Linked DNA regions of Diceros bicornis minor. The protein of the gene in region 1 purifies or fractionates together with the protein of each later gene. This does not show direct contact. Links are inferred from orthologs where the notes say so. Each region holds a gene or a part of one and is shown in the gene's direction. Other genes may lie near its edges. The genes, in order: ASF1B, HAT1, TLK1 and TONSL.

Evidence for each region.
Region 2: the proteins of ASF1B (region 1) and HAT1 purify together in Homo sapiens (affinity purification with mass spectrometry; 6 studies listed by BioGRID and IntAct, counting the BioPlex papers as one, with this or other methods). This does not show direct contact. The link is inferred for Diceros bicornis minor from reciprocal best matches to the Homo sapiens genes ASF1B and HAT1.
Region 3: the proteins of ASF1B (region 1) and TLK1 purify together in Homo sapiens (co-immunoprecipitation; 3 studies listed by BioGRID and IntAct, counting the BioPlex papers as one, with this or other methods). This does not show direct contact. The link is inferred for Diceros bicornis minor from reciprocal best matches to the Homo sapiens genes ASF1B and TLK1.
Region 4: the proteins of ASF1B (region 1) and TONSL purify together in Homo sapiens (affinity purification with mass spectrometry; 5 studies listed by BioGRID and IntAct, counting the BioPlex papers as one, with this or other methods). This does not show direct contact. The link is inferred for Diceros bicornis minor from reciprocal best matches to the Homo sapiens genes ASF1B and TONSL.

Annotation. Positions count from the first base shown.
Region 1 is NC_080769.1:3,613,015-3,620,751, forward strand, and holds the start of ASF1B (histone chaperone ASF1B), read left to right. Parts: upstream 1-4,736; 5' UTR 4,737-4,834; coding exon 4,835-4,943; intron 4,944-7,737. UniProt on the Homo sapiens protein: Histone chaperone that facilitates histone deposition and histone exchange and removal during nucleosome assembly and disassembly. Cooperates with chromatin assembly factor 1 (CAF-1) to promote replication-dependent chromatin assembly.
Region 2 is NC_080749.1:53,179,784-53,187,739, forward strand, and holds the start of HAT1 (histone acetyltransferase type B catalytic subunit), read left to right. Parts: upstream 1-4,944; 5' UTR 4,945-4,994; coding exon 4,995-5,001; intron 5,002-5,190; exon of another isoform or gene 5,191-5,282; intron 5,283-7,546; coding exon 7,547-7,651; intron 7,652-7,956. UniProt on the Homo sapiens protein: Histone acetyltransferase that plays a role in different biological processes including cell cycle progression, glucose metabolism, histone production or DNA damage repair. Coordinates histone production and acetylation via H4 promoter binding.
Region 3 is NC_080749.1:52,572,456-52,579,405, reverse strand, and holds the start of TLK1 (serine/threonine-protein kinase tousled-like 1), read left to right. Parts: upstream 1-3,935; 5' UTR 3,936-4,434; coding exon 4,435-4,573; intron 4,574-6,950. UniProt on the Homo sapiens protein: Rapidly and transiently inhibited by phosphorylation following the generation of DNA double-stranded breaks during S-phase. This is cell cycle checkpoint and ATM-pathway dependent and appears to regulate processes involved in chromatin assembly.
Region 4 is NC_080760.1:57,048,163-57,055,941, reverse strand, and holds the start of TONSL (tonsoku-like protein), read left to right. Parts: upstream 1-4,770; 5' UTR 4,771-4,852; coding exon 4,853-4,877; intron 4,878-4,969; coding exon 4,970-5,065; intron 5,066-5,281; coding exon 5,282-5,424; intron 5,425-5,999; coding exon 6,000-6,183; intron 6,184-6,553; coding exon 6,554-6,683; intron 6,684-6,981; coding exon 6,982-7,153; intron 7,154-7,242; coding exon 7,243-7,357; intron 7,358-7,779. UniProt on the Homo sapiens protein: Component of the MMS22L-TONSL complex, a complex that promotes homologous recombination-mediated repair of double-strand breaks (DSBs) at stalled or collapsed replication forks.

The DNA of each region.
Region 1 (7,737 bases):
GATTGATCATTCTGACGACATTCAAATAATAATAATAATAAATTCTGAGCATCAAAAGACACCATATACATGAAAATGCAAGCCTCAGATGTGAGAACTTCTGTGCCAGATAAGATGAAGACAATCCAGCAGGAAAATGGGCAAAGATATGAACAGACAATTCACAGGAGAAAGGCAAAATGGTCAATGAACAAACGAAAATAGCTCAGCCTCACTAGTAATCAGGATAATACAAACCGAAACCACTAACTCACACCCACCACAAGACAAAAATGTGAAGGTCGGACAAGTTGAAATGTTGACAAGGACACTGAGCAACAGCAACACTGCTGGTGGGAGTGAGAAGTGGGATGATCATTTTAAGGGCAAACTGGCAATATCTAATCAAGGTGAACACTGCCATAACCCAGCCATGCAAGCCCTTGGCGTGTACGCCAGGGAAACTCCTGCCTGTGTGCACAAGGCGACACATACCACGATGAATACTGCGGCACTGTCTGAGAGGAGAAAACTGGAAACAACCTGAACGTCAAGCAAGAGGTGAACAGATAACGTAAATGCTGTCCAACAAACGTCCTGTGGTGGCAGAAGTGTTCTCGATCCCGGCTGTCTAATGCAGTGCCACTAGCCACGGGTGCCTATAAAATAGTGCAGTGCGGCTGAGTGTGACCAGGGAATTGAATTGTCCAGTTTAGTAAATTTTGACTAAGTGGAATTTTAACAGTCACATGTGGCTCATCCTACCACATCGGACAGCACAGCAATACAGCAGGGAACAGAAATGCATCTGAGCTACCCCCGTGTGGCAACAGAGATACATCTCAAAAGGAGTATGTTGGATGCAAAGAGCAGGTTTCGGAGGTAGGGCCGGGACTAGAGGGCAGCAAGCAAGGCATCTAGAGTGGAAATTTTAGGAGGCACTCACTCTCAGGGTCATGCAGGCTGGGCACTTGTGTGGCCCTGAGAGCGAGCGCCTCCTTCAATTTTGTGCCTTAGGTGCCTTGCCTGCCTCACCATAGTTCCAGCCCTGACAGGATATATTTGGTATGATACTGTGTCAGGGGTCCCCAAGATCACCCCCAGCCTCAACGATTCGCCAGAAGGACTCACAGGATTTGGCAGATAGTTGTACACACAGCTGTGATTTCTTACAGTGAAAGGACACAAGCGAAAGCAGCCACGGGAAGCCGGGCACAGGCCTCCAAGAGTGCCCTCCCAGCAGAGTAACAGAGGACGTGCTCGGTTTCTACAGCTGAGCTGAGACAACACTGGTCAAACAGTGTCTCCCAGGGAAGCTCATCAGAGACTCAGTGCCCAGGGTATTTACTGAGGGCTGGTCAAGCACCAAACTTCCAGACTCCAGAAGGAGAGCAGGTGCTCAACACCAACCACATCATCTGTACAGTTGAGGCACCGGGAGCCACTCGTATCATTCAGGAAATGGTGGGAACCTGCCTGAAATCCAGGTTCCTACACGCCAGCCAAGGGCCCACCTTGCAAGGCCTTTCTAAGGATAGCAGTCTCAGGCCTACTATGGTGACTCTTTTTTTGCGCAAATATCGTTTATTTAAAATTGTAGGATGTGACATACAATACTATATATTGTTTTAAAGACACATGCACATAAAGATGTACAAACACGCACAGAAAACTAAACACCAAACACAGGATTGTAGTTACACTTGAGGGAAAGGGGAGAGGAATGGATTTGAGGCAGGGGTATAGCAGGCCTTTCAATTGCATTGCTAACGTTTCACTTCTTAAGCTGGGTAAGCAGTAAACACCTGTGTTGTTATAGCATTTCTTACAGTTCTTCCAACATGTGCACCTGAAATATTACATAAGAATGAAGACTTCTCTCCTTCTTACAATGCACTACTAACTGCTCTACTAACAGCTCCTTTATGGAGTGCTTTCACATTCCAGGCACTATGCTAAGCCCTTTATATGGATTTATTCTTTTAAAAAATCTCCTGGGGCCAGCCCAGTGTTGTAGTGGTTAAGAGCACGTGCTCTGCTTCTGTGGCCCACGGTTCGCAGGTTCAGATCCCGGGCGTGCACCGACGCACCACTTGTCAGGCCATGCTGTGGCTGCGTCCCACATAAAATAGAGGAAGATGGGCACGCATGTTAGCCCAGGGCCAGTCTTCCTCAATAAAAATCAATAAATAAAATTTAAAAATCTCCTGAAGACTTCCTACGTGCGAGGCCCTGTGCTAAGCTCTGGAAACACATCGAGAGGTCAATGTGAGCCAGGTGAGCTCTCTGCCCTCAACCAGCTTTCAGTCTCCTGAGGGATGATGAGAGAATAAGCACAATTTAAAACCCACACAAGTGCAGATCCTGATACGTGTGACTAAGATAACAAAGCGGAGTGATGTGATTAAGGAGGGGCTACTTTACCCGGGGTGGCCCGGGAAGGCTTCTTTGAGAGACATTGAAGTTGAACCATAAAGGACGAGAATGAGACAGCCCTGCAATAATCTGAAGGAAGCACATTCCAGGCACAGGGAACAGCAAGTGCAAAGCCTTGCAGTGGGAGTGAGATCGGTGTGTTGAAAGATGAGAAGTAATGCCAGCAGCGCAGGAGAGCTGTGACAAGAGCGAGACCAGCAGATGAGGCCCGAGGGGTCAGTTGAGGACATGGTGCAGGGCCTCCGAAGCCACAGTCAAGACCTCAGGTTTCATTCCAAGTCTGATAAGCCTTCGAAGGTTTCAGCAGGGTAATGACGTGATCTGGTCTGCAACTGAAAATTATTCAGCCGGTGTGGAGAAGGCATTACAGACGGGCCCTTTTCTTCATCAGCAGCTCACACATAGCGCTGGTGGCTGACGAGCTTCTCAAGGGCTATAAAAAGGCAGGGGCCGGGGACAGAAGAAAAAACTTCCACAATGCAAAAAGAAAACTACAAAGTCAGGGCCGGCCGCCTGGCGTGGGGTTAAGGTCACTCCCCGCTTCGCAGCCTGGGGTCCGCAGGGTCGGCCAGGCGAGGACCTACACACCGCTCATCAGGCCATGCTGGGGCGCCCACACACAAAACAGAGGAGGACGGGCACAGAGGTTAGCTCACGGCCAGCTAACCTCCTCAGCAAAAAAAAGGAAGAAAACGAGAATGCATAGGTGTTTAACTGAATGTCTAGAAAACCTAACGTCCTGGCGACTTCAATCACCATTAAATCCAGCATTCATAAACAACCGAATTACACTGAGAAACAATTCGAAAATTCGATTTTCTCCTCACAAAAGTTCCCAAGCATGCCGCACGACGGCCAAGAAATCACAGCCAGTCAGAAATGTGAATTTTCTTGCAGCCAAATCGTTTCGAAGGGGAAAAAAAACTTTCAATTTTTTTGACCAAACTTTTTGAACATGAGATGCTGATACAAAACAACACGCGCAGCATCACGGGACCTCAGGCCTCTCCGCAGCCACACGGGTGGCCCGACCACAAATGCTGGTGGCTGGGACCTGCTGTCCAGTCACACGGTGCCGCCTGCCACAGCGGCTCACGAGCACCGGACGTGGCCAGTGCCACCGTGATCTGGAACCTTCCACGTCGCTGCATTTTCATCCACGTTTCAATTAAACGCCAGTGCGCGGCCGAGCTCGCGGGAACAGCGCGGCCGCGCGTCCACATCTTCATCTCTCAGTTCTACGAGAGCCAGAGCCAGACACACTGACTTTGACTTCTCCTTTTTTTACTTTTTTTTCCACCGTGGTTACTAGGACAACGTGACATCAGGCGTTACTTTTCCGCTGCTGGCGGGGGACGCCGAGGGTCCGGCCCCGGCGTGGGGGCGCGGAGAAGCTTCCAGACGTATCCTGTCAGGGAGTCTCCACGGCCCCGGTCAAGGGCGGGCCGCGTGGCCGCGGCCGCGGGAGCCGAGGCGGGACTCGAAGCTCCGTCCACGGCGCGGTCCACCTCAGACCTCCGAATGGCCCTCGAGGGGCGAGAGCGGGACTCGCACCGGCGACTCCCGGGGCGCGGGCCCGAGCGCGCCGCCTCACGGCCGTGCCGTCGCCCCTCAGGCTGAGGCAAACATCCACGACCCAGGGGCCCCTCAGAGAAGCTCCCAGAACGCTCAGGGGCGGACAGCCACCGAGGCCGCCAACGCTCCTCCTCTCCTCACACCCGCTCAACCGCGCCGGCGGCCGACTTCCGCTCCTCTCCCTCCAATCCCCAGCCGAGTGTTCTGCTCCTCCCGCCCCCTCGGCCAGCTCAGCCAATCACTTCTCAGAGACCGGGTTTATCCCCGCCCCACCGCCGCCTGCCAATCACCGCGGGCGCGAGCACCGCCCTTCCCGCCCTCTTAAGCGAGCGCCGCGCGCCCCCGCTCGACAGTTGATGGCTCTGCTCCCCGCGGGACGACCCACCCGGAAGGGCGGGGCGAAGCGCGGCCCACGCTCGTGCGAGAACCCTCAGGATTGGCCGAGAGGAGCCCCGCGCTCTGACTGCGCCCATCCCCGCCCTTGATACCCGAGTTGGAGACGCTGGGGATTGGTTCCCGGCGGACACCCAGAAGCCGCGAGACGGTCCCGCCTCCCTCGCGCACCCCGGAGAGGGAGCTCCGCGGATTGGCCCGCGGCGTCTCGGCGCGTGCCGACTGGCGCCCCAGGATTGGCTGAGGGGGCGCTCGCGCCGCCGGGGAGCGTTGACGGTGATTGGCCGGAGGGCGGGGCCGGCTGTTTGAAGGAGGCGCGCGGACGGAGACGCACTTCAGTCGGCGGAGAGAGGCGGCGAGAGAGCTCTGTGTAGACGCCGCGCTGCCGACCCGCCGGGACCCGGACGCGGGCTCGGCCCCAGCCAGGCCTCAGCCGCGGCCCGGCGAGGCGATGGCCAAGGTGTCGGTGCTGAACGTGGCGGTGCTGGAGAACCCGAGCCCCTTCCACAGCCCCTTCCGGTTCGAGATCAGCTTCGAGTGCAGTGAGGCCCTGGCGGACGGTGAGGCTGGGCCTGTGTGGGGACCCCCTCCCCCGGCCAACCCCCACCTCCCGCTCACCCCCGCGCCAGCCCCAACCTCCCCGGGGGATTCCCCCCAACCCGCCCCCTCCCCGCCGTTACTCCCGTTTCCTCTCGTGCAGACCTCATCCCCCCACCCCCACCCCGTTCCTGTATGGCCGAACCCCCATTCCGGCCACCCAGTCTTCCCCACCCATCGCCTCTGCGCTGTGATGAGACACTCCCACCTCACTTGTCTCCTATGGAGACCCCAATCTCCAGTCCTCTCCTACTTTCCCTATGGAAACCCCAGCCCCCGTTTTCTCTCTGCAGACCCCAGCCCCCGCCCTCATTTTCCTTGTGGAGACCTCTCCCCCAAGCTCCCTCCCCTTTTCCCCCGTGAGACCCCTCTCTCGCATGTCAAGACCTCACTCATCCCCATCTCCCCATCTGTCTCCCAATAACCCCTCCCCAACCTGCTGATATCTAAACAACCCCGCCCCCACCCACTCCTGCTCGTGTCCTGCCCCAAAATCACACACCCTGGAACCTGGCTTCCCGCCCCCTTAGCCTGGCCTCACCCCTCCTCTTGAGCCCCAGCTGGGGAGGCATGGCCCGGCTTCCAGCTCCAGTCTTGGAGGGTAGCCTGTCTCCCCAGGAGCTCCTGCTCCTCCCTCCTCTCTGACTGTGGGCTTCCGTGGACTCACTCAGATCTGAGGGGTGCTACAGCCTGCCAAGCACTGGCTGCTTCCTGCTGTTTGCCCGCCAGGTTCCCCTCACTGCCGCTGCAATTCTTACAATGCTTTTGATGGTCTGACCTAGTCTGGGGCGAGGGCTGAGCCATGATGGTGTCTGGCTTCAAACAGTCAGCTGGAAGGCCACAGCCTTTTGTGCGTTTTTTCAAAGGTGGTTTCACGGATGTACTTATTCATCTGCTTGACATAATGCTTGCTTCTCATCTCACAGATGAGAAGACGGGAGCCACAGAGTGAAAGACTTTTCCAGTAAAGGTCTATCAAAATCTGAAAATCTGAGGTCACCCAGGGAGCAAGTACTCCCTTAGACCACTTCTTCAGTTGGTGGTTAAACGAGGAGAGGCAGCAGCTGAGGAGGGGGCGACCAGCGAGGCCAGGGTGTGCTAACTAGCGCTTCTCAATGGCAGGTGGGTGATTTGCCTGCAAAGCTGCCCACTTGGATTAGCTTGGGGTTGATTCAGTTTGAGATGCATTTTGCGCTTCGGCTGGGCCAAGTGGTCAGTCTCTCCCGGGTTTTTCTCCTGTTTAAATTAAGGAGTTGTGACCAACTATAGAATAAGCCCAGTTAAATCCTTTCTGGAACAAGGCAGGGTGTAAATAAATAAATAAAGTGTAGAATGACGCTGTGGAATAAAATTTAATTTTAAAGCCAGGAGATGTAAGGAGCTAATAGGTTAAGGGAATGGCAGTTTCCAGATGGCAGGAGATCGGGTTTCAATCAGCCTCTTGTGCTCCTTGCATTTAAAAATGGTTGCATGGTTATTATCTAGTACTTTTGTTCCTGGGAAGCCCCTGCCCTGTTCCTTTACCAATCTGTGTATAGAATCACAGCAGGAAAGGCCAAAGTCGGCCTGCTGGTCGTTATTTTTTAAGAGAGAGAGATGGGATGATTTCTCCAAGGTCACACAGGCAGTCTGTGGCAGTATTGATACAAGAGTGTGTCTCTGAGTTCTGGGTCCAGGGTCTTTGATCTTTGCTATAACCTGGGAAAGAAAATGCATCCCCTATTTTAGAAGTGCAGCATGAATATAACTGACCGTGGAATTTATTTCTGCCTCAGGACTCTCAAGAGTGATGGGGATGCTATTATTTATTTTACTTTTTTTTTTTTTTTGAGGAAGATTGGTCCTGCGCTAACATCTGTTGCCAATCTTCCTCTTTTTCTCTTTTCTCTCCAAAGCCTCAGTACATAGTTGTGTATCCTAGTTGTAGAGTTGTAGCTCTTCTATGTGGGACGCCGCCTCAGCATGGCTTGATGAGCGGTGAGTAGGTCCGCACTCAGGATCTGAACAGGCGAACCCTGAAGCGGAATGCTTGAACTTAACTGCTATGCCAGCTCCAGGCCGGCCCCAGGGGGTGCTATTAGTAATTACACCCGGACGATAAAGCTTTTGCTCAAAGAAACTCAAGTTGGAAAGCAAACCCTGGCCTGGAAATCTGGACTCTTCGGTCCTACCTGTAGGGCTGTCCATGCCTCTGACCTGCCCACTTGCGTTCTGCCTCTTCCTGGCCACGGAGCAGAGAGAATCTGTTTCCTGTCCCCCAGATGGAGGGGGCCTGGGCCATGGAAGTCTCAGGTCCTGGAGACATCTCAATCAGTCTCCTTATCAGGATGCTAGCAATTGACAATCTGACAAGGCGCCCAGCCCCCCTCAGTCAGCTGACATGGTTCCCAAGGGCTCCACGCCCCTTCTCCTCTCTTTCTCCTCAACAACTGGAAATGGATGCATCCAGGGCGTGGGTCCACATATGATACAGTAGGTGAGCTTTTCCCCTGTCTCCTTGGGGAATTCAACAGTTACTGCTTGACTAAGTCCCGGAGCCACATGCTCTGACCCACAGCTGACACACTGTGCTCAGGCCAAGGTTCATCTCTACGATCATGATCAAAGGCAAAGTGACAAACAGAAAAAAGTCTACTAGGTAAGTTTTTAAAAAAAAAAAAAAAGGCAGGGAACAGCCTCTCCAGCGAGTTCCACTGCAGGAGGTTTCTGCACGCCTTTAGTCAGGTCTTTTGGGCTGTCTTCTCATACACAGTGGAG
Region 2 (7,956 bases), on another chromosome or scaffold:
TGGGCCACAATATCACCTCTATCAGTTACTTGCTGAGAAACCTCAAGTAACAGTGTGGAATTAAGTCAGGGATCTTCAGAGGTGCATAGATGATTGAGAAGATAGAAAACCTAATATTTTAAAATTAAAATTTCTGTCTAAAAATTTTAGCCAAATTTTTTGTGTAACATAAAAAGTTAACAATAGCAATATTTAATATAGGAATTAACAGAAGTAAAAATATATTAGATATATATTTATAAGAAAATAGGAACAAAAGCTTGTATGCATATATATACCAAATAAAAAGTATGACAATGACTAGATTATCTAATTTCTAAAATCACTTTGCTCGAAAATTCCTGATTCTATATTATTCAAATTACCTTAGTTTCTCTTAAACTACATTAAAAAATACCACCATATCTATAGTAACAGAAACCTCCTCATAAACAACAAAATGTTAAATTTACAAAGATATGAAAAAGTAAACCTTTTATTCTTTAGATGAATCCTAACCCTACCGATACACCCTTCTTACCTGATCAAGCAGGTTCTCTTTGTATTATATGGTACCAGTTGGCATGACCCTTTCTTCTTCTTAGCTCATTCAAGAGACTGGCAAAGGGATTCTCTGAGAGCCCTGTGTTGATGAGATTAATGACAAACTTAAAGTGTGGATTCCCTCTAGCAAAATTTTCAGAAAGAATTCTTTTAATTTTACTAATTTGCACAGTGACTGGTTGGTTTAGCTTGTTGACAACTGTACATATTCCCTCAAAATTCTGATTTGTAAAAAAATTTAGAAGAAACACTACCATAAAGCTAAATTTTATTTTATTTTATAATTCTTTTAAGGAACAAGTTTATAAACTAAACAACTAACAGTATTATATAGCTGATGTAAAAGCTCCTCCCTTTGTGTGTCCAGATCATAGGAAGTTAAGAGTCTTGCTGTGCGTAGTGATATGGGTAAATAGGTTACAAAGGAGTTGGCTAAAAACCAATCCATTAAAATGACAGCTTTCACAACAATGGGAATATACTTAACATTACTAAACTGTATGCTTAAATATAATTGAGATGGTCAATTTTATATGTTTTTTACCACAATCAAAAAAAACAGGACTGAAACAATATATCAGTTTAAAATGAGTATTTCTAGTTATAATTTTCACCACTTTTGTCTTATTTCTTTAATATCTAAGTAGCTTTGATAAAGTTTTCTTCACCCTCCCCCTACCCTAAAGCTCTTCCATATTAAGAAACAACACAAAACAAGAGCAGAAAAATTTAACATAGAAGAGTAATGGTCATTTTTTGTTGGCTAAAACGGAAAAAATAATTAATATTTGAAATAGAATTTTAACTATGGAATGTGAAATGTCATAGGCATTATTGTATTACTCACCCTAGGTAGACATACATAATTAATGCCATTCTTACAAATTATAGTTTCAAAAAGTAAAAGAGGCATCACAGAATGGTAATTTTGGGAACAAGTATAAGCAATTATAGTGCTCTTCCCTCATTTTGACAAATCTTTGCTTGTAAATAATGGCAGAATGTAAAACTAGAAATGCTAATTTTCAACTAACTGTTCCTTGTTTCAATTGCTGTTCCTCTTTGATTCTGTGTATCAATTTATAGAATGTAAAGAAGAGGGTAAGAGTTAGCAACCATGTCTAAAAACTTTCAAAAAGATTGATAAGTTTCTAATTATGAAAGAAACCAATACATTCTCAGGAGAAGCAAAATAGTATTTTTTAAAAATTCCTCATTAATCTCCATCTCCAAATTCCCCCTCCTAGCGGCAGCCACAGTTAAACTTGTTAGGTATGCTTTCGGATGTTTTCTATGTTTATATCAAAATACACTTTTTTATACAAATAAAATAACATTATAATGTTGTGTAATTTATTTTTTAACCTATTATATAGTAGATATTTTCTGAAGTCAGTATATTAGCCAGCCCCTTTTGATGAATCTTTAGGCTGTCTCCTATTTGCAAGTAAAATTAATGCTGCATTGAACATCTCTGTTCATATATCTTTGCATTCCTGTGCAAATAGTTTTCTAGGACAAATGCTTATAAGTGGAACTACTACCTCAAAAGATATACAAATTGAAAATTTTGTTAAAGTTTTTAAAATTGTGTCTTAACAAGTACTAGTTTGTACAGCTATTACAGCTATGGGTGGTGTATGAGAGTTAAAAAATGTAATGTGCTAACTGTTGGTAATGTGTGTCTTTAAGTTATTTCTCTAACAGTAATTTTCAATATGAGCTGGTCTATTTTTATTTTCTGTCTTTTATCTCATATAAAGGTCATCTAGCTCGGTAGGGGATTCTGGATAATTGTTCTGGGAACTGAAACTCATACCCCACCCAACCCTCACCATTAGCACTATGAGCTAAACAAATGAGTTAACTAGCTACTGTTATTTGTCTGCAGAGAGGTATATACTTTGAATAAAGACACATCAAGTACCTGCATTTTTCTTTTAGATCTCAGATTTCCTACATCCATTTTCTGATGACCATCTTTTTTTGCTGAGGAAGACTGGCCTTGGGCTAACATCCGTTGCCAGTCCTCCTCTTTTTGCTGAGGAAGATTGGCCCTGGGCTATCACCCGCACCCATCTTCCTCTAGTTTATATGTGGGAGGCATGCCACAGCATGGCTTGATAAGCAGTGTGTAGGCCCGCACCCGGGATCTGAACCTGCAAACCCCGGGCCTCCAAAACGGAGCACGCAAACTTAACCACTACACCACTGGGCCAGCCCCAATGACCATCTTTTTAAAACCATGTTTTTAAAAAAATCCATTCAGAAAGTTTTAACAAGATGGCAAAATTTACTAATCTATATGCACTTGAACATGTACCAAACATATGGTTGCTGGTTCATTCTTAATAGTGTAATATGGCCTTTTTCTCTGGAGAAAAATGCCTTTTCCAGACCTCCTATCCTAGAATAAATGTTATCATACTAATACCACCCCAGATTAACACAGAACTTCAGAGTTTACAAACCTCTTTCATGAATATTGTTCTATTTGATTTTCACAACAACCCAATGTGGTGACTGGGAAAGTATTATTATCTCCCCTTAACACATTAAACAAGGTTATACAATCATGAAGTACTAGAACTGAGACTAGTAGGGCTAGTCTCAGAATTTTCCATATCTCTATGCTGCCTCTTCCATATATATCAGCACAGCATAGTCCTTTCGTAGAAATTTTATTTCATGGTGGTAATGTTCACTTCCTAAAACTCTGTTAGAACAAGGTAAAATATAAACTAAAAAAGAGAGAAAAAGCCCTACCAGAAAAAGAAATACTTTTTCCTTTTTGGTAATTTGACTATCACCTTTCTAAAAGAAGTCATTCTTTTATCTTTTAGGTAAACTGTACCTAAACATGAATTCTGTGACATTTTAATATATGTGAACAGCTCTGAGATAAGGACAATTTAAAACTGTAACCTCAATTCTACAAGCTAAATACTAGTATGCTACATACTAAATGCTAGTCACATGATATACAGGTTTCATCATATTTCTTATTCATATTGATATTCATATTTATCATATATAGGTTTCATCATATTTCTTCCCTACAATTAACCATAAAGTCACAGGACTACACTGTTTCAGATTTGCCTGCAGTTAAGACAAATTCCTATTGATTTCTTATTATAAGGATCATAATTGCTGGTCAGCTATTGACCTACAGATAAAGTGCTTTCGAAAAGAGATGATGAGTCTTGCCATTCTGAAAAAATTATTTATAAAAAAAAAAGATTGGTTTTCTTTTTGAATCCATGTCATTAGTAGCATTGACTTCAGTTTTCTTAACATTATGATAGTAATGTCTAGTGTTTCATTAAGGCTTAAAGAAAAAGGATCTGAGCATTCTCGGTATCTTTTCTGATCTTTATCTTCGGGAGGGCCATCTCTACGCAACTGAACAAATACTGGGCTGAGCGTCTGGAAAGCTGGACTCTTGCACAGGCTGTATACTGAGTGTGAACTTGGGCAATTTCTCTTTTCTGGGCTTTAGTTTTCTCATCTCTAATATGAGGGGTGTTATCAGTTCTAGACTATCATCCCAAGGGTCCATTTTAGCTTTAGCATCATCATTGTAAAACCTATTAACCAACATTTGTTGAGACAAGGCATTCTAGCGTACAGACAACATTATGGGAATATTTGTGGATACCTAAATAGTGGCTTATCCTCTGGGACAAACAGTTTCAACAATTACTAAATACTAACCAGGACTATGGCTTAAATTAGGTAGCATCCTGTGATGTGGTTCAGCCACTAAGACTTGAGACATGTAGCACCAGATCAGGCCACTTGAGGTATTATTAGGTAAAAATTTCGGTGTACTAAATGGTTGCCTAATAACCTTGAGTGCAAGCAGAGGACCTAAATATCACACTATATACCACTAAAACACATGAGCGAAAAGAAAGACAATGTTAAACAAGTATATACGGCAAAAACAGACATAAAATAAGTGAAAATTTCTTACGCAACTGCAACTCAATCCCTACATTCTCCCTACGTAAAGCTAGGGCTCAGGTGTTTGGACATTCCACTGCCCAGGCCAAGGAGAAAATTTTCCTACCAGTCTCCAAAACATCGCTAGGGGGGAAAGAAAACAGCCGTAAGATCTCTATCTCACTCAAATCAACCCGAAAGAAACTGGTCGGGCCAGCGGGAGTCGCAACATTAAAAGCCTCTTTTTCGGCCTCTCCCCCAAGTTTAGGCCTGCAAAGGTGCTGACGGCACTTGCCGCGGCTACGGTCTGAGCGTTCCCAGCGGTGTGAGCCCCGCCTCTTGAGGTGCTTCCGCCACCCCGCGCCTCAAACCTCCTCCTCTCATTGGCCAGCGACTTGCCGGCAGTGGGCGGGGGAAATGCGTCAGACAGTGCGCTCACTTCCGGCCAGGGAGCGCGCGGGTTGATTCGTCCTTCCTCAGCCGCGGGTGCTGGCAGCTCGGAAATGGCGGGTAAGTTCCCGGGAAAAGTTTAGCAAGGGGAGGGGGCGGGCAGGTTTGTGAAAGAACGCTGTGACGGTGGTGACAGTGCCCCCTCGGAACTTTCGGGCTCTAACCTGGGTTCCAGAAGGCCTGTGTCAGTCTGGAAGTGCGGAACTCTCAGCCCTACTCCTTGTCGGCCGAGGTTCGTGCCCCCGCCCCCAACCGCTCGGGGTTCTGCGCCTGCCGCGAAGAACTCGGCCCCTGCGGAGGGCCGAAGAGGCCGGGGAAGCGTCGCGATGGGGGCTTGTAAGGTGCGGATGCCTTGAGGCCTGTTTCTCTTCTCTTTCGTTTTGTCCACTGCTGCCGCAGCTACGCTAGTCTGGTCCTTTTCCCGCCAGCCGATTTTAATGCTCGGATCCTCCTCCTCCTCCAGGTCTCCCTCCACCTTCCCCTGCGGTCAACTTCTGACCAGCGCATTGCTGCCTTGCCCTGCACTAGGGCTCTCACTTGAATCTGGACTGACTTCGTAATCGTCTCCTTAATCTCCCGCACTTTAGTATTCCTAGGATCTATTTAGATTTCCTTTGAGAAAGAAGTTGTTTTCGCGTTCTTCTTTCGTCTAAACTTCTCTTTTAGAGTGTGTCTACTATGATGTAATTCGCTTGTGTTCATTCTATTCTGCTCTCTTCTCTTATTGAGTCTCTTCAGTTTACAACATTTAATTAACTAATAATTGCTGTTATTTTGTACGTCTGTTAAGACCGTTTTGGTGTGAGTATATGCTTTTTTGCCAATAACATATCTTTTGAAGTGATGGACAGTTTCAATTTTTTATCTTTTCCCAGTGCCTTCGTAGTAGTCTCACTTTTATGGATATGCTGGATGGACAGGCTAGCATGAGCTCTACAGATGTTTATCTGTTCTACCAGATAGAGACTGTAGGATCTTGGGGTACACTGGTACTATAAAAGTGAGGGGAGCATATTATATATTGTATAGGATGTACATATTATAAGAATTACACCTAAATTCGAATTTCAGCTCCACCACTTAGTAGTTGGGTGCTGTTAAGCAACTCTTTCTAAGCCCGAGCTTTTACATATGGAATGTGGCTAATATAGTATCTACTTTTCTTATAGAATTGTGGAGATTAAGCTAATGTATGATTTCAAAAGTTAAATTTTGTTGCTGAGGTTATACATAAATTCTTTGAGGTGGGTTCTCTTATCTCAGTTTTTATAAATTAGGGTCAGAGAAGTCAAGTAATGTGCTCTAGTTCACAGATCTAGTAAGTAAATGGTGAAGCCTGGATTTGAATCCAGGAATTCTGATTCCAAACCATAAATGTATATTGCCTTAAGTGTTCCCCATTTTCTGTATATGTGTGTTTTAACCACTTATTGAAGTTTATGGCATGTCATTGTACCTCTTTTGTTTCTGCTTATGACTCTTTTTCCTGAATTTTTACTAATTTACGTTCATTTTGTCAGGAGATTTATTGTCATCTTTGCTTCAAAGTTTCTCTTGATAATGATTTCTTCCATTAATGATTATATATATTGATGGGTAGCCAGGTTGTAGTAAAACCATTTGGGTATTCCAGTAGCCCATAGTTTAAGACTTATGCACATATGGTCAAAAAATTTTTTTAATACAGTGAAATTTTCTTTCCTAATCTTGTCCACATTCCTTCTCTCTTATCCTAGAGGTAACCATGGTTACCAGTTTCTTGTGTATCCTTCCTGAGATGATCTATGCATCATCAGTTGATGGTTTTTTAATAGTTGATCTGCAAATACTTTGGGTAGAATTTTTCCAGTATTAGAAATGAAATGCTACTGTAATTATAAAAGGACATTCTCACTTTGTTTCTTAGTGGAGCACTGGCATCCTTTTTCTATTTCTTTTGAAAAAGCTACTTAGTTATAAATCCTAGCAGGTAATTTACATTAGAATTAAATATTCAGAAATGTCAGTAGTCTGTTGTGTTAATTTTCAGGTTTACTTGTTTATGTAAAGCATGCCTAGTTCATAAGCCTCTATCTTAAAAGTGATTTTTTTCTGTTTTATAATGAGGCAGTCATACTCAGTACATTTATTTAGGAGTGTATGGAGAATGACCTGTACTTTTATGATCTATTAGCATGTTTTATTTTATTTCATTTTTTTATGAGGAAGATCAGCCCTGAGCTAACATCCATGCTAATCCTCCTCTTTTTTTTTTTTGCTGAGGAAGACCGGCTCTGTGCTAACATCTATTGCCAATCCTCCTCCTTTTTTTTTTCCCCCCAAAGCCCCAGTAGATAGTTGTATGTCATAGTTGCATACCCTTCCAGTTGCTGTATGTGGGATGCCACCTCGGCATGGCCAGAGAAGTGGTACGTCGGTGCGCGCCTGAGATCCAAACCCAGGCCACCAGTAGTGGAGGGCGCACACTTAACCGCTAAGCCACGGGGCCGGCCCTATTAGCATGTTTTAAATCTTACCTTTATTCCACTTCTAATAAGAACCTTATTTGTAGGTTTGACTATTTAAATCACCTCCAACCAGACCTTTTAACAACCTTTTCTCTTAGGATTTGGTGCTATGGAGAAATTTTTGGTTGAATACAAGAGTGCAGTGGAGAAGAAACTGGCCGAGTACAAATGTAACACCAACACAGCAATTGAACTAAAATTAGGTATGTATGCCATTTCTAAGTGGGGTTATGTAGGTACTGTGTGTGTGTGTGTGTGTGTATAATCTTTCTTTTTAAATTAGAAGTAGAATTTTACGTAAAAGCTGTTGTTTATGTACATATGTAGTTTTCAACATATATTGAACACATTCAGATTTTATTCAGTCTTGATTTATGTCATAGAGTGGGTAGATGTTTGAGAGATGGCAGAGGTTACATATAGGAAGTACAGTGTGGCAAAAAATGGCAGGTATAAGTGGTCTTAGCCTCTTAAAAATATTTACCTTTATTTTTTTGCTTATAAAAAT
Region 3 (6,950 bases), on another chromosome or scaffold:
GGAAAGGGGCTTAGGCATTAATTATTTTCTCAAATTGAGAAGGAATCAAATGTTGAGGTATAAAATGCATTTATTATACCTATAATATTGGATGCTTTGTAAATATTTTTTCTATGGTATATAAATTGAAAAGAGTCTAATAAACATAGTTGTAAATTATGATCAGCCTATAGATCAGGGCTCATATCTCCCCTTTTGTATATGACCTTCTGTCAGGAGACCCTTGAAGCCCTCTTCTCCTGCGTTGTTCCCTCATCTGTATCCCAGCTCATTGATCCTTATCATTCATTCATTCCACAATGACAGAGCCCTTGGTCAGTGCCAGGCACTGTACTAGGGGCTTGAGTCTGTACTCATGGAGCACTCAATTCACAGAAAGAACATTCTCCCCAGTCTCTTCCCAATTCTTTCTAGGCAGGTTTACTACATTCTGCTTTTACTTGCTCAGTTCACTTCTGTGTTTTCCTGCTGGCTTTCCCTCTGGGAATATTTCCCCAAGGAAGCTTGCCAAAAACTCCCTCCTAATTATCTTTTCTTGAGATTTCTTCTCTCCCATAGAGTGGCAGGTGTTCCCTTCTGTCTGAATCTGGACTTTCTTGACTTTTCTGTATCTTTTCCTATTGTGCAAGCTATCACTCTAGCCCCATCTATCTCTCTACCAAACGTTTTTTGAATTCCTGTGTACTAGCCGATGTGCAAGGTGTGGAGGAGCCTCTACTTACCATTTAAAAGTTTTCATTTATCATAATCATTTTATAAAATTATGCATTTACACAATTTGTGTGCAGGCCCTTTTTATGCTTAAATTTCTTAAGAAATACATGATTTATTGTACAAAATTTGAAAGGTGTAATGGAGGAAAGAATAATTATGTAATTTCACAACCCAAGGCTAGCCGTTAACTTTTTAGGGTGCATCCTTGCAGTCATTTATTATGCATACTTACAAATCAGGATCATACACACTTATTTTCACTTATTACAGTGTGAAAATTTTATCATCTTTTTCAGTATTCTTTGAAGACATGATTTTAAATGACATGACATTCCATTTTCAGGCTATGCCACGGTTTATTTAATTAGCTCCCTCTTGCTGGCAGTAGCCTCTTTATAAGTAAGTCAGTGTTGACTATCTTTATCGTAAGCTAGAAGAAAGCAGGAATCAATCATTTAATTGTCCTTCCTAGGAAGCACTTATACCAAAAATTTATCTAAAGTAATTGGATTATGTATATGCTGTGATCCTTTGGTTACCATTTAAAATGAAAGGAGTCAGTCTGCATAAAATGTAACCCGGGTTGGAATAAAGGTAACCTGAAGCTCTGGAGACAGTTGGGAGGAAGATAACCAGAACATAACCGACCATCAGATCTCTTTGGTTGAGTTTTGTTTACTACTCTTGAGAGGAGCTAAGCTCTGTATAAAGTCTGGGAATTGGTAGGGGCTTTAGAAATCACCTGGTGACTCGAACTTCTTTTTCATAGATGAGGAAATTGAATCAAGAAGGATTGTTACCTGCTGAGACTAATACCCAGGTTTCTTGACTTCCTTCCTGTCTTATGCTCTTTTCACCACAGTCAACTGACTAAGCTTTCTCTTAAAATACAGAAAAGGCATACGTTTATCTACATGTTGTAATAGGAACTGTTTCCCCTTAGAGTGCATGTACTTTGGTATAAAAATCTAATGGTAAGGACCTAGGTATGTATCTGTGGGAGATCAAGATTTGGCCACCCTGAAATATATCTCTTTACCTTGATTGTTTTCTCTGAGGGACATTTCACCTCCCCCACTAACTGCCTAAAGAATTTGACAAGGTGGCTCCTTCCTGGAACAGATCTTCTATCATGATGGCTGTAATGATAATGTAAAATAGATGTTACAATGGGAGGGGCACCAAGCCCCTTTTATCAAAAAACTCTCTCTCTCCCTGACCACATTATCTATAGATGACCCTGAAAAGAATTGTCTTCTTGCCCTCTGAAGTCCCAGACAACTCCCCACCCCCCACACCTTCCTTGCCTTTAGCTATAATACTTAAGCAAGCAGCTTAGACAGAGGGACGAGTTGCTCATTTCTGAGTTTCTCCCATGTATACATGTTGTTAAACTTGGTATTATTTTCTCCTGCTAACCTGTCTTGTTGATTATTTGGCCAGCCATAAGAACCTTAAGGGAAAGGGCAGAGGGGGATTCTCCCTCTCTCCCCACATAGCCAAGAGAAAGGAAAGCACATGTCCACACAAAGACTTGTACATGAATGTTGATAGTGGCATTAGTCATAATAGCCACAAAGTGTAAATGATACAAATTTCCATCAACAGGTGAATGGTTAAAGAGTGTGGTATATTCATACAATGGAATAAATACCTAGCAATAAAAAGAAATGAACTATTGATAAATGCAAAAATGTAGATGAATCTCAAAATAATTATATTGAGTAAAAGAAGCCAGACAAGAGTACAAATGGTATGATTCCATTTATCTAAAATTCTGGAAAATGCAAACTAATTTAAGTGACAGAAAGCAGATCTGTGGTTACTTGGGGATGGGAGTGGAGTGGAAGAGGAACCTCAAAGGGATAGAGGAAACGTTGGAGGCTGATGGATATATTATCTTGATTGTACAAATGGTTTCAGGGTTGTATACATGCCAAAACTCAAGTTGTACATTTTAAATATGTGCAGTTTGTGTCAATTATACTTCAATAGAGTTGTATATAATTTGTGAGATCTACCTCAACTTTGAAAAGCAGATCATGACTAAAAACTCACTGAAGAACCTGAAGCATAGGAAAACTAAAATTACTTCTGGAGATAAACGACAACGAAGGCTCTATTCTAGTATGATAGTTTATCTGAACAAAACATTACTATGAGAAATGCAAAGTCATAAAAATAAAAAATAGAAATGACATTTTTGTCCCCCTGGTAATCATGCCATTTCCTCATGCTTGTACAGTTGCTGTATATCATAATCTTTTCAGTGTTCTATTCAATTTGGTTTTTTAAGGAGAGTAATAACCTTGTATTTTTCCTAAACTATTAGACTGCTCTTTTATGTACAAGATGTCCAATCCCTGGTATGTCTGTACGTGTGTGGGTGTGTAGAAAGCTACATTGTATCTATTAACTTAAGCAACTGCTGTAATTTGCTTTGGGATTTTGTAGTCAGGACTCAGCAGCAGCACTGGAAACAAATTGGAACTTTCTAGAAACCATATCCTCTTTTACTAGTTTTCCTAAATATATGAATCCAGTAATCAAATTTTTCTATTTAGATTTTCCACTTACTGTTTTAAAACAAAGAACTGCTAATACAGTGCACAACACCGGTAAAGATTCTCTCTTTTTAGAAAACATTCATAAAGTTTTATTTCCACCTCCCGCCCCCAACTTATTTTCTTAGCTTTTATTCGGTAATCACTCCCATTCCGCAGACAGGGAGACGCACACAGGTTTTTTTGCACAGCACAGAGGAGTAAGAAAAAAACCACTCTCAACTTTTCAGTTCCATTTTGAGAAACGATCACATCGAACTCCTGAGAAACGACAGCCCAGCGAGAGCAGAGGCATTTCTCCTCAGGCTGGGTGTGGGTCGGGAGCCAAGCGCGCTTCCGCGGGAGAGGGGGTCAGGTGGCAGCGGAGCGGGAACGGGAGCCGGAGCGCCGCGGCGGGGGTCCGTGCGGGGCGCGCCTCCCTCCGGCCGGCGCGGGGAGGCCGCCCCCGCGCATGCCAGTCCACCGGCCCGGGGCTCCCGCGCCGCGCTGCGATCCCCGGGTGCGCCAGGGGCGCCGGCGGCCGCGTCACCTCCCTCGCGCGCTCGCTCCCTCCCCACCCCCCCCCCCCGCCCCCAACCCCTGGCAGGTCCCTCCCCCATGCCTGCTCCCGCGGCCGCCGCCGCCGCTACCGGAGGCGCAGGAGCCTCGCGATAGTGTTTGCACAGGCGGCGCGTGACGCCGTCGCCGCCTGTAACTGATGCAGAGGTTACCCCGCCGCCTCAGCCGCCACCCACCGCCCGCCGCCGCCACCCGGGCGACGCCGGGGGCCGACGCACTGCAGAGGTGCCGGCAGGTTCCGCCCGCGGAAGTCTCCTCGGCCGGCGCAGCCCGCGCTCCGCCCGCGCTCCGACCCCGGCGGGCGCCCCCTCGACGCCTCCGCCGCCGCGCTCTTTCCTTCCGCCTCTTCCCCGGCGCGCCCGCCTGCTCCCTCGCTTCTCCCCCTTTTCCTCCTCCCCGTCCCCTCTCCTCCCCTCACCTCTTCCCTCCCCACCTCCCCCCTTCTCGGTTTCCTCCCCCATCCCCTTGACTCTTCCCTCCCAGCCCTCGCTCTCTCGCTCGCCCTCAGCGCGGCCCCCGCCATGACGGAGGCGGGTGCCGGTGCCGTTGCCGCTGCTGCCGTCGCAGGGGGGGAGTCGTGTTCTCAGAAAGTAGCTTGATGAGTGTCCAAAGTAGCAGTGGAAGTTTGGAGGGGCCGCCATCTTGGTCCCAGCTCTCCACGTCTCCAACCCCGGGCTCGGCGGCGGCGGCCAGGTCCCTGCTGAATCACACGCCGCCATCCGGGAGGCCCAGGGAAGGTAAGCGCCGTCGCGCCCGCGCCCGCTCGCGGGCCTCTCCTCCCGCGCCGCGACCCCCGCTCCTCGCGGGTCTTCTCTCCCCGACCCCGGGGTGGGGGATGGTGGCGAGGTGGACGCGAGGCCGCCGGGCTCCGGGGAGGTAGTGCGCTGGCTGTGGGTGGCGGTTCGCGGGTGGCGGAGGTGACGGACGAGGGGGTGCGCGCTGGAGGGGACGGGGCGAGGCGCGGCACACAGACTCGCCTGGATACCTAAGAGCCAGTTCTGCTAGGGTGGGAAGCCTCCCCCGGGACGCGAGCCCCTTTCTGCTCCATTTGCTAGTACACTCGGTACTCTTAACCTCCTAGCCTCTGGTCTCTGGTGGGTTTTCCCTCCCGTTGAAGCATTCATCCTCGAGCCCCCTCCCCTTCCCTCGCGCACTCCTCCCATAGAGGCGGTCCCCGCTCTGCAAGCTCTGCTGCCCGGGACCTGGAGGATGCCCCTCGCTTGCAAGGTCCCTGCCCATTGGGGAGCGCCGCTCAAATGATCAGAGCCGACCTTTATCCCCTGCCTGGCCCCCTAGAGCAATTTAAGCGACAGACTGACTCGTGGGCTGGCTTTTTAAACCACCCCTCCAGATGGTTGCAACTTTCTCTCCTTCGCCATCACCTCCTGCGTGTTTGTGCGTTCTCTCTCTACGGCAAGTAGGCTACTGTTCTTCTCTGACAGGGCCGTGGGTTTTGTGGGAAATATCTGCGTAAAGCTTACTGCAAACACGCACCAGATCGGTTACAATTGTTTTCTAAGTTTTCCGGCTTCTTGCATGCCAGTGTGCTGCCACCAGATGTAGCAGTTACACAGCCAGTGAGACACCGGAGTGCTTTTGACTAAAATTTCAACTTGCTGTATTTAACTTTAAGTATATGACATAAAATGAAATTTGAGAGAACACGCATTTATGGGGGAAGAATAAATGTGCGTGGAATTGCATTTAACACTCTTGTCTGGAAAACGTTTAGCAGTATTCATCAGCAATTGGTAAATGGGTTGTTCACCCCTAGTTGTGTCACGCAAGGAGATTGTAGCCACATTTTCAAAAAAACGCTTGGAAGTCTAGTGAATAGTGAATAGTCTAGTGAATCCTGTAATCAAAAGCTTTGACTTATGTAGGAATTGGTAGGATTAATTATTTTGAAAATATCTGTCAATATTTACTACTCAGAGCCTTGACAATTGTTAATCAAGTGTTTTGTGCCCTGAATCCAGTGGTTCAGGCATAGCATTCTTTGTCATTTTGTTCCTGTGAGCATGTGTGAAAGTGACAATAGGCTCAAAGATTGGCATGAATTTGCTCTAGAAAATTCATGGAAAGGTTTGATTTATGGCATCCATTAAACATGCTGAATACATTGACAGACATTTTCCCCTTTCCTTGTCGCCCCCAACACTGAGTTCGGATTATTAGAAAATAAAAGTTTATTTATTGACTAACTCAAATTTAGTACATTTGGTGATTTTTCTTTTTGCACTTGAAAATTTGTAAATATTCTAAAATCTATTTTTGTAAATAGAGCAATTGGTGTTTTTATCGTGCTTTTACTTTTGTCTGTAATTTCGTTAATATGCTTAATGATAGTGTTATGAATGGTGGTAAATGATGGTCTTGGGAAAGACTGTCTTCTTTTCTTTTTTTTTTTTTGTTCTGTCAGGACCTTTTTTTCATTCATTTCTCAAATATTTATTGAGCCATTTCTGTGAGCCAGGCGCTGTACTAAATACTTAGGACATAGTGTTGAATCGTTCATCAGTAACATATATTATCAATATTAGTAATTTTGGACCTGCAAAATCTAGGTTGAGAGTTCTGAGGTTACTTCAACTCTAGTTAAAAAACTTCTCTGCTATTCTGTACTTTTCCTGATATTTGAAAATTTTGTGGGGTTGGTATAATTTATCTTGTACTTTCAAATAACCAGAATTTTTTCCAGCAGTTTAGATTAGAAATAGATTTTTATGTAACCTAGACTCTGGTGAGTCTCCATTAATTAATGAAATAACAAGGCATGCTTTTGTGCAAGTTGTGCTTCACACCAACTACCTGAATGGCCATAATGGTATATTTCTTTTTGACCACTCAGCATGTAAGTTAAAACTGTGTTAATCCTCTCTGGGGTTATGTATTCATCTTGAAGCTATAGTCTTAGATTTCACTAATGCCAGCAGAAATTGTATATATGAAGTCCCAGGTATCAAAATGGAGATGTTTTCTATTGAGATGTTTCTATTTCTGTTTATTTTATCAAGTCTTGAGCATCATTTCCAGGTGTGCACGTTAGTATATTGTATAAATTGATGTAAATTGAGAGAGCTTTTGGCTTCTGGTGACTGCTAGTAAGAACCG
Region 4 (7,779 bases), on another chromosome or scaffold:
TCAGAACTGCATCCTGTCTGTGTGTCTGCTTACCCACGCCCCTGGGGCGGGGCCTCTCCCTCTGCCGAATGGGCCCTGGGGGAGGGTGAGGAGGGAGGCCAGTGGGGGTTGGGGCTGGCTGCTCACTTCCCGCAGCCTCTGGGCTCCCCACAGCTAACGCGTGTTACTTCTGTTTATAGTTGTTTCCCCAAAGCTTGTGTGCGCCTCCATTTGCCATAATTGCGTTTGATTTGCGTTGTGACAAGTAGAGCACGCTGTGTCCTGGTAAGTTGCCTTCCTCCCTGGCTGAGCCTGTGTCCTCGGCCGGCCGGTCGGGAAGGCGCCGCCACCTGGCCCTGCCCACGCTGACTGCCGGCTCTTCCCGGCCTGTCTGTCTCCACAGAGGTCCAGTTCCGGCCGTACCGCACCGATGACTTCATCACGCGCCTGTACTACGAGACGCCGCGGTTCACGGTGCTGAACCAGACATGGGTCCTGAAGGCGCGCGTGAACGACTCGGAGCGCAACCCCAACCTGTCCTGCAAGCGCACACTCTCCTTCCAGCTCCTCCTCAAGAGCAAGGTCACGGCACCCTTGGAGTGCTCCTTCCTGCTGCTCAAGGGCCCTTACGACGACGTGAAGATCAGCCCCGTCATCTATCACTTCGTCTTCACCAACGAGAGCAACGAGACGGACTATGTGCCGCTGCCCATCGTCGACTCCGTGGAGTGCAACAAGCTGCTGGCCGCCAAGAATATCAACCTGCGGCTCTTCCTGTTCCAGATACAGAAGTAGGCGGCGTGCCGTGCTGCCCACACCCACCCGGCAATGGCTTCACTGTGCTCTCTGACCATTTTAGTGAAGGAGGAAGGAACAGAAGTGAACGTTGGGAAAGTCTGCATGTGTGTGCGATGGTGTGAGCACTCTGCCTCGCCCTCCGCCCGGCCCTCTGCCCCGCCTCCCCTCTCCTGGCACCAAGACTGGGCCACTTGCAGAGGAGACGGCGGCTCAGGGAGCCCCAGCGCAGCGAGGTGCACTGCCCGCTCTGGGCCGGGCTCAGGCGAGCTGACTTCAGACGGCATATTTGATTGCAATTAAAAAGGCACCTTGTTTGCTATTTTCTGTCTTGTTGGAGGGGAAGGCGCGGCTGTGAGTGGACAGCGTGGGAGCTTTGGTTTGGCCTGTGGGTCAGAGCCTACCCATCCCTGTTACTGCACCTCCATGCGCCCCCAGCAGAGACTCGGAGATGCTGCCCCCTCCGTCCCAGGCCAGGTCTGGGGGGCGGTAAGGGTCAGGGGTCTCGCAGCAGCCCCAGCGCACCGCCCCCCCAGCCACTCCAGGGAGGCAGGACTTGGCCACCAGGGCTCAGCAGATGTTTCGGAATGCAGGGTGAAATTCTGTCTCTTCCCAGGAAAAAAATTAAACTCTTTACAGGCTCTTCTGTAAGGTATACACATTTAGCAAGAGAGAATGGATGTTCTGTATTGAGCCTGGAGAGCACAGCGTCCTCAGGCTGTGAGGGAAGCTCTGGGGGCCGCTGGTGGTGAATGAGCCTGGCTGGGTGAGGGTCCAGGTGGGCCGGCCACCCTTTGCTGTTCTCAGGGACCGGCTGCTGGCCCTGTGTCCTGAGGTCTGCTCCAGAGGTCAGTGCTTGGGCAGCCTGGTTTCTCACCTGAAGGAGGTGGGCTCTTCCCAGCCTTGACTTTGCAGCCCCAGCCCCAGGACTGCAGTGAGCAGGCCTGGTGTGTGGGCCTCACAGTGTGGGAAGGAGCCTTGCCTGGAGGAGCCCAGGACCCTTGGAACTTCTGGGAAGGGGAGAGCTTAGCCACCACTCCCCTTACTTAGGAGACGTGACTCTTCTGCAATAGCTTTTCATTGCTTCAATACCAAAGAACCGTTTCCTTTGCCCCTGTCCAGGCCCACCCCATGCCTCAGAGCAGCAGCCCCCACCACCTGCCCACTGCCAGCCTGGCCTCTCCAGTGCCTGGGCCCTGCAGGCTCAGCAGGTAGGGCAGCCCTGGCAGCAAGAAGAGAGCTGCGGGCCTGGCCTGTCTCTGGGGGCTCCTTTTGGCCCTCAAGTCAGGGGCTGAGAAATGAGGGGAAGGAGCTGTAGGATAGAACAGGAGCCTCACCCTAGTTCCTAGTGGCCAAGGCGGCCCTCCGAGTCAGTTCTCCCCCAGGGCGGCTCCCCAGGTTCTTCTGAGAAGCCTATTTGGCTTTCTGTTTCCAGCCCAGGGCATGGGGCTCGCGGGGTATTCCCTTCTGCAAGGCTGACTCTGCCTGGCCACTGAGGGGACCAGGAAGCGCTATGCTTAGTTTTCTGTTCTCTACAGAGGAAGACTCCACCCCAGCCCCCAGCACATCCTTGGGGGCAGCGATCTCTGACCTAGAGACAGTGTGGCGTGAGTCCCACTGCCCTCAGGGCTGCCCCCAGCTCATGGGCACAGAGGATGACATTCAGGTACACACGTTATCAGGTCTCGTGTGTAGAGGATGGCACATGTCACTGCATCTTGGTGTCTCTCGGGGATCAACACCTTCTCTGTAGAGTTTCTTAATTTCAAAGTGACCGTGTTGTGAGGGGAGCCGCGGCGGGGCTGGTGCCCAGTCTGTGTGCGTTTGGGTACCTGTGTGAGGGATTGAGTCAGCAGAAGGGTGGGCCCCTGGCGGCTCTCCTGGGATGGGGCAGGGTGGGAGGCAGCAGATTTCTGTGTGTAGATGAAGCTATGTGGTTCCCAAAGCGGGTTGGGCAGGGCGCCACAAGAAGGGAGAAACCAGGGCTGGCTGAGGCCCCTCGGCTCTGCCTCCTCAGTCCTGGGGCTAGCAGCCTTGCATGTGTGGGGTAGGGGGCACGAGGGGCTGGGCTCTGGGGCACCAGGGTCAGTACTTCCGGCAGCCCAAGGGTGTGTGTTGGAGCTGGGTGGCAACCAGGCGAGGCCCTCCCTCTAGGAGTGTGGGTGTGTGGGGGTGCCTGAGAGGACTGCTAATACATCCCAGCATCGCCATCCCAGCACAGCCCTGCCCTGTAACCGTCACCTCAGCAGCTGAGCCTTGCAGCCTGGTGGAGCCAGGCACCCTGGGAGATTGTAGTGCGTCTCGGCCGCAACTGGGGGCTGGTGCCACAAACCTCTCTGCGGCATCTCACTGCAGGTCACTGATTCACTGGGGGATGTCCCATCAGTGTTGTTAGAAAGGAGAAGACACCAGTGGTCTGTCTCCAGGACCCCATGCCATCTTGGCATCCTGACCTGGAGGAGGTGGGGGTGCACCCTCAGCAGATGTGGGGGGAGGCTTGGGGCACAAGCCAAGCCGGGTCCCCTCTCCTCCTTCCTCACCCCCATTCCCCTGTGAGCATTACATCTCAGATCACCCAAAATGAGACATTTACAAAAATAATAAAAATAATTTTTTAAAGAGCGGAGCGAGAGGTGTTTTTACCACTGTCAGAAATGACTCACACGTCACTTTTGTGGTCTGCGTTCTCTTTGGATATTTTCTGTGTGTAACTACAGTTTAAAAAAAGTTCCAAACCATGTTTTGTCTGTGTTTCCTTATGAGAAGACAGCCTCATGGATGGGCTTTCCTGGGTTCTGCTAGCTGCCCAGCCAGGGGTCAGCTGCTGCCCCCGCTGGCCCCCAGCCTGTGGCCTCCCCACCCTCCAGCCCCTGCTCAGCATCACCTCATATACACATCCCTGTCTGATCAGTGGCGAAACTGAGGCATACAGAAGTTGGGTGCTCTCAAGGGGAATAGGGCCCCCAGGACCTGGGCTGTCCTGTGAATGCGGGCGCTGGAGGGCGAGCCAGGTCAGCTGGGGAGGCTCCCTCCGCCGTTCAGCTGAGCCAGTCTCTGCATCCCTGGCCTTGCTCCCCCACCCCGCCTCCACCGTCGCCCCTCGCTGTGCCCCGCACAACTTACCGCCAAGCAGCCGCCTTGGCTTCAGGGCCTCCCTGTCCTGCGTCCTGCGCCCCACACCCCTGACTAGGGGCCAGGCAGAGCACCTCACCCTCCAAGAGAAGAGGACGGCCACCCGGGTCCAACTTCCCACCTCCTGCAGCTCCTCGGGTTCGGTCTTGCCCCGACCCCTGCGGCCGGGCACTGGCCCTGGGCAGCCTTCCCTGGACCCATGGACCCATCCGCCCCCACGTCACTCCCTCCCCAACAGCTTGGCTGTGCATCCACTGGCTGAGTTTACCCCACTGGTCTGTTTCTATTTCCACAGAAAACAAATGAGTCCATCTCCCAGGGCTTCCAGCCTCCTCTGGGGCCTTTGAACGCGGCCAGTGCGTGGCTCCCAGGCCTGGCGGGGCGTGCTGTGCGCGGCCCTTACGTGGGGCCCGGGTGCGCGGCGTCCGCCAGGCACCGCAGGTGAGCGGTTTGCGCTACGGGACCCCGGGCCTGGATCCGGCCCCTCCGCCAGCAGCACCGGCCTCGAGTCCCAGAGGTGCCGGCTGCCGGACTCGCGGGTTCCGCGGTTCTGTGGGAGGGGGCAGCTGGTGCCGCCTCCTCTTACACGAGGGCAGCGCGTTCCGCAGGTAAAGTCGCACGTGCAGGTAGGTTTCTTGAGGGGAGGGGGTGTCAGCAGCAGCACGGGGCTAGAGCCCAGGAGACCTCCCCCAGGGCGGCTGAGGGGCCGGGGTGGGGGGCGGTTCAGCTCCCTGGGCCGCCCCGGGAGTCCGGGGAGGCGGGCACCAGCCAAACTACAGCTCCCAGGATGCTTCGGGCGGCTGGACTACACTTCCCGGGATGCTCCGCGGCCCGCGGGGGCGAGACTGGGCCTGCGCGCGGGCACTGGGGGCGGGGCCTGGAGCGGAGCCGCAGTGGTGGCGCGGGAGCGCGGGAAGTCTGGATCCCCGTGTGCGGCGGATGGAGTATGAGCCTGGACCGCGAGCTTCGCCGTGAGTTCCCCGGCCCAGCGCGGGGGCCGGGAGCGGGCCTGGCCCCCTAGGTAGAGGGGCTCAGCCTCTCGGCCTCGTTCCTCTCTCTGCAGAGCTGAGCAAGGCCAAGGCCAAGGCCCAGAGGAGCGGGCAGCTACGGGAGGAGGCCGCCCTCTGCCACCAGCTGGGGGAGCTCCTGGCCAGCCATGGTGCGTGCTCCGCGCCGGGCCCGGGGTGGGGCCCGGGGCTGGGGGGCCGGGAGAGTGAGGGGGGCAGCCGGGAGGGCCGTGGGGGTTGTGGGGCCGGAAGGGGGCCGGAAGGGACAGGGGACTGGGAGCCTTGCTGAGCGCGCCGCCCAGGGCCGGCCGCCGCCCCGCTTGCCCTCGCGGCCCGTGGCAGACTGCCCTGCCCGCCCGCCCGCCCAGGCCGCTACGCGGAGGCCCTGCGGGAACATCAGCAGGAGTTGCAGCTCCTGGAGAGCGCCGACGACCCCCTGGGCTGCGCCGTGGCGCACCGCAAGATCGGAGAGCGGCTGGCGGAGATGGAGGACTACTCTGCTGCCCTGCAGGTGGGCGGTGCCCCGCCAGCACCCACTCTGGCCACACCCCGCTTTTGTGGGCCGCACTTTGTGGGGGTCTCTTTCTGAGAAGGGAGGCACAGTGTCCACTGTCCGGGCCTCTGGCCACATGGGGACACCCTGCAACGCAACCTCACTTTCAGAGAGCCTTGTGCCAGGGAATGGTAGGTCAGTCCTTAAGTGGACACACACAGCCTCTTCTAGGAGCCTGGCCCCAGAAACCATTACCAAATGTATTATTTGAGCTGCGTTTGTGGGCCGGCTGGGGGGGTCGGGACACACTGTCCACACAGAGCCTGCCCTGCAGCAGCCCAGCTAACTCCTACTCATTGTCCCTCCTCTATGATGACACTAGCTGGCTGGAGTGTGGAGCTACTGTCCCCACAGGCAGCCCTTGGCATAGAGGAGATGGGGTGTGCGTAGTTTGGCTTTGGCCTGCTCTGGGGGGTGGTTTGAGGAGCAGGGGGCTCTCCTGGGCAAGAGTAGGGACGCCCTGGAGTTGGGGGACATGGAAGGTTTGCTTGAAGTGGGGTTTGGCTCACAGCAGCCATTCCTCTGCACCCTAGCACCAGCACCGCTACCTGGAGCTAGCCCATTCCCTGTCCAACCATATTGAGCTGCAGAGGGCCTGGGCTACCATTGGCCGCACCCACCTGGACATCTATGACCACCACCAGACACAGGATGCCTTGCTGCAGGCACAGACTGCCTTTGAGAAAAGCTTGGCTATCGTGGACGACAAACTGCAGGGTGAGTGCCCTCAGGGGCATGGCCTTCCCCACCATCTGCCCCCAAAACTGCAGGCAGAGGAGGTTGCAGCCTCCCTGCCAACCCTGCCTGCGTGGCAGGTTCCACCTGCCTGAGCCCTCCCTTTGTGAGACGGAGATCTGTCCTTAGAAGCCCTGCTATGAGGGGATGCATGGCCTGTGCTCATTGCAACGTGGCATCTGGTGATTGTCTGCTTTTTGTTTTTCCACACTCTGCAGCAGGACCCTTGGCACCTACAGTGAGAGGTGGGAGGAGGGGTGGGGGAGAGGCTGGACGGGCCTTGGACAGGGCCCAAAGCTGGAGACTCCAAGTGGGGATGAGGCACTGAGTATCTGGAGGGTGCGTCTTTCAGGGACATTGGCCAAGCGAGAACTGAGCGAGATGAGGACCCGACTCTACCTCAACCTGGGCCTCACCTTCGAGAGCCTGCAGCAGATGACCCTGTGCAATGACTACTTCAAGAAGAGCATCTTTCTCGCTGAGTAAGGCCCCCCACTCGGTCCCAAGAGGGAGCTGAGTCCCTGTTCCTGGTGGAAGTAGCTGGGGAATGGGCAACTGAAAGGGCAGGCTGGCTGGACCTCACCCCCGCCCCGTCCGTTTCCCATTAGCAGAGGAGCCCTGGCATGTGTGTGCTGCATGCTGGGGGGGGCAGCAGGCCTGGCGTGACAGGGCTGGAATCCCGAGTGGCATCAGCAGCTGCTCGTCAGTGCCTCGGGTGCCACTCTGCCATCCCAAAGTGGGAATGCCCCAGGCACTCTGAGCGCCTGTCACCACCCGCAGGCAGAACCACCTCTATGAGGACCTGTTCCGCGCCCGCTACAACCTGGGCGCCATCCACTGGCGCAGAGGGCAGCACTCCCAGGCCATGCGCTGCCTGGAGGGGGCCCGGGAGTGCGCACACATCATGAAGAAGGGGTTCATGGAGAGCGAGTGCTGCCTGCTCATCTCACAGGTGCCAGTTCTCAGTGGCTCTGGGCTCAGCCCCGGGGAGGCCTTGGGCCTTGGGGAGTCTGCAAGCCTCACCTTTCCTCACCCCCCCAGGTCCTCCAAGACCTGGGGGATTTTTTGGCTGCTAAAAGAACCCTGAAAAAGGCCTACAGGCTGGGCTCCCAGAAGCCTTTGCAGAAGGCGATGATCTGCAGGACCCTCAAGTATGGTGAGCCTGGAAGGGGTCCCAAGGAGCTGAACCACCCTGGGAAGGGGTAGAGAGGGCTCCCCTCCCTCGGCAGAGGAGGCCCAGGCACATGTCCTTGGGGAGGTGGCAGCATCAGTATGGGACATCTTCCTGGCCCCCCATTTCCTGTTGGGAGGAGACCCCCACTTCTCTGAGCCAAAGCATAGCCTGTTGGAGGGGCACTGAGAGTGGTAAGGAGATTGGCTGGGTGTTTAGGTATGAGTCAGTGTCTTCATTGGCAAGCTGGAGATAGAAGTCGTCCCTGCCTAATGGCTGAGAGAGTGGGTGGCGCCCGCAGCCGGGAGGACTAATGAGTGTCATTCGCCAGTGCCCCCCCCTTTGCCGTCAGCCAGGCACTGCTCAAGTTATTTGTTAGTTCTTCTAATCCTCGCAGCCCCATGAGG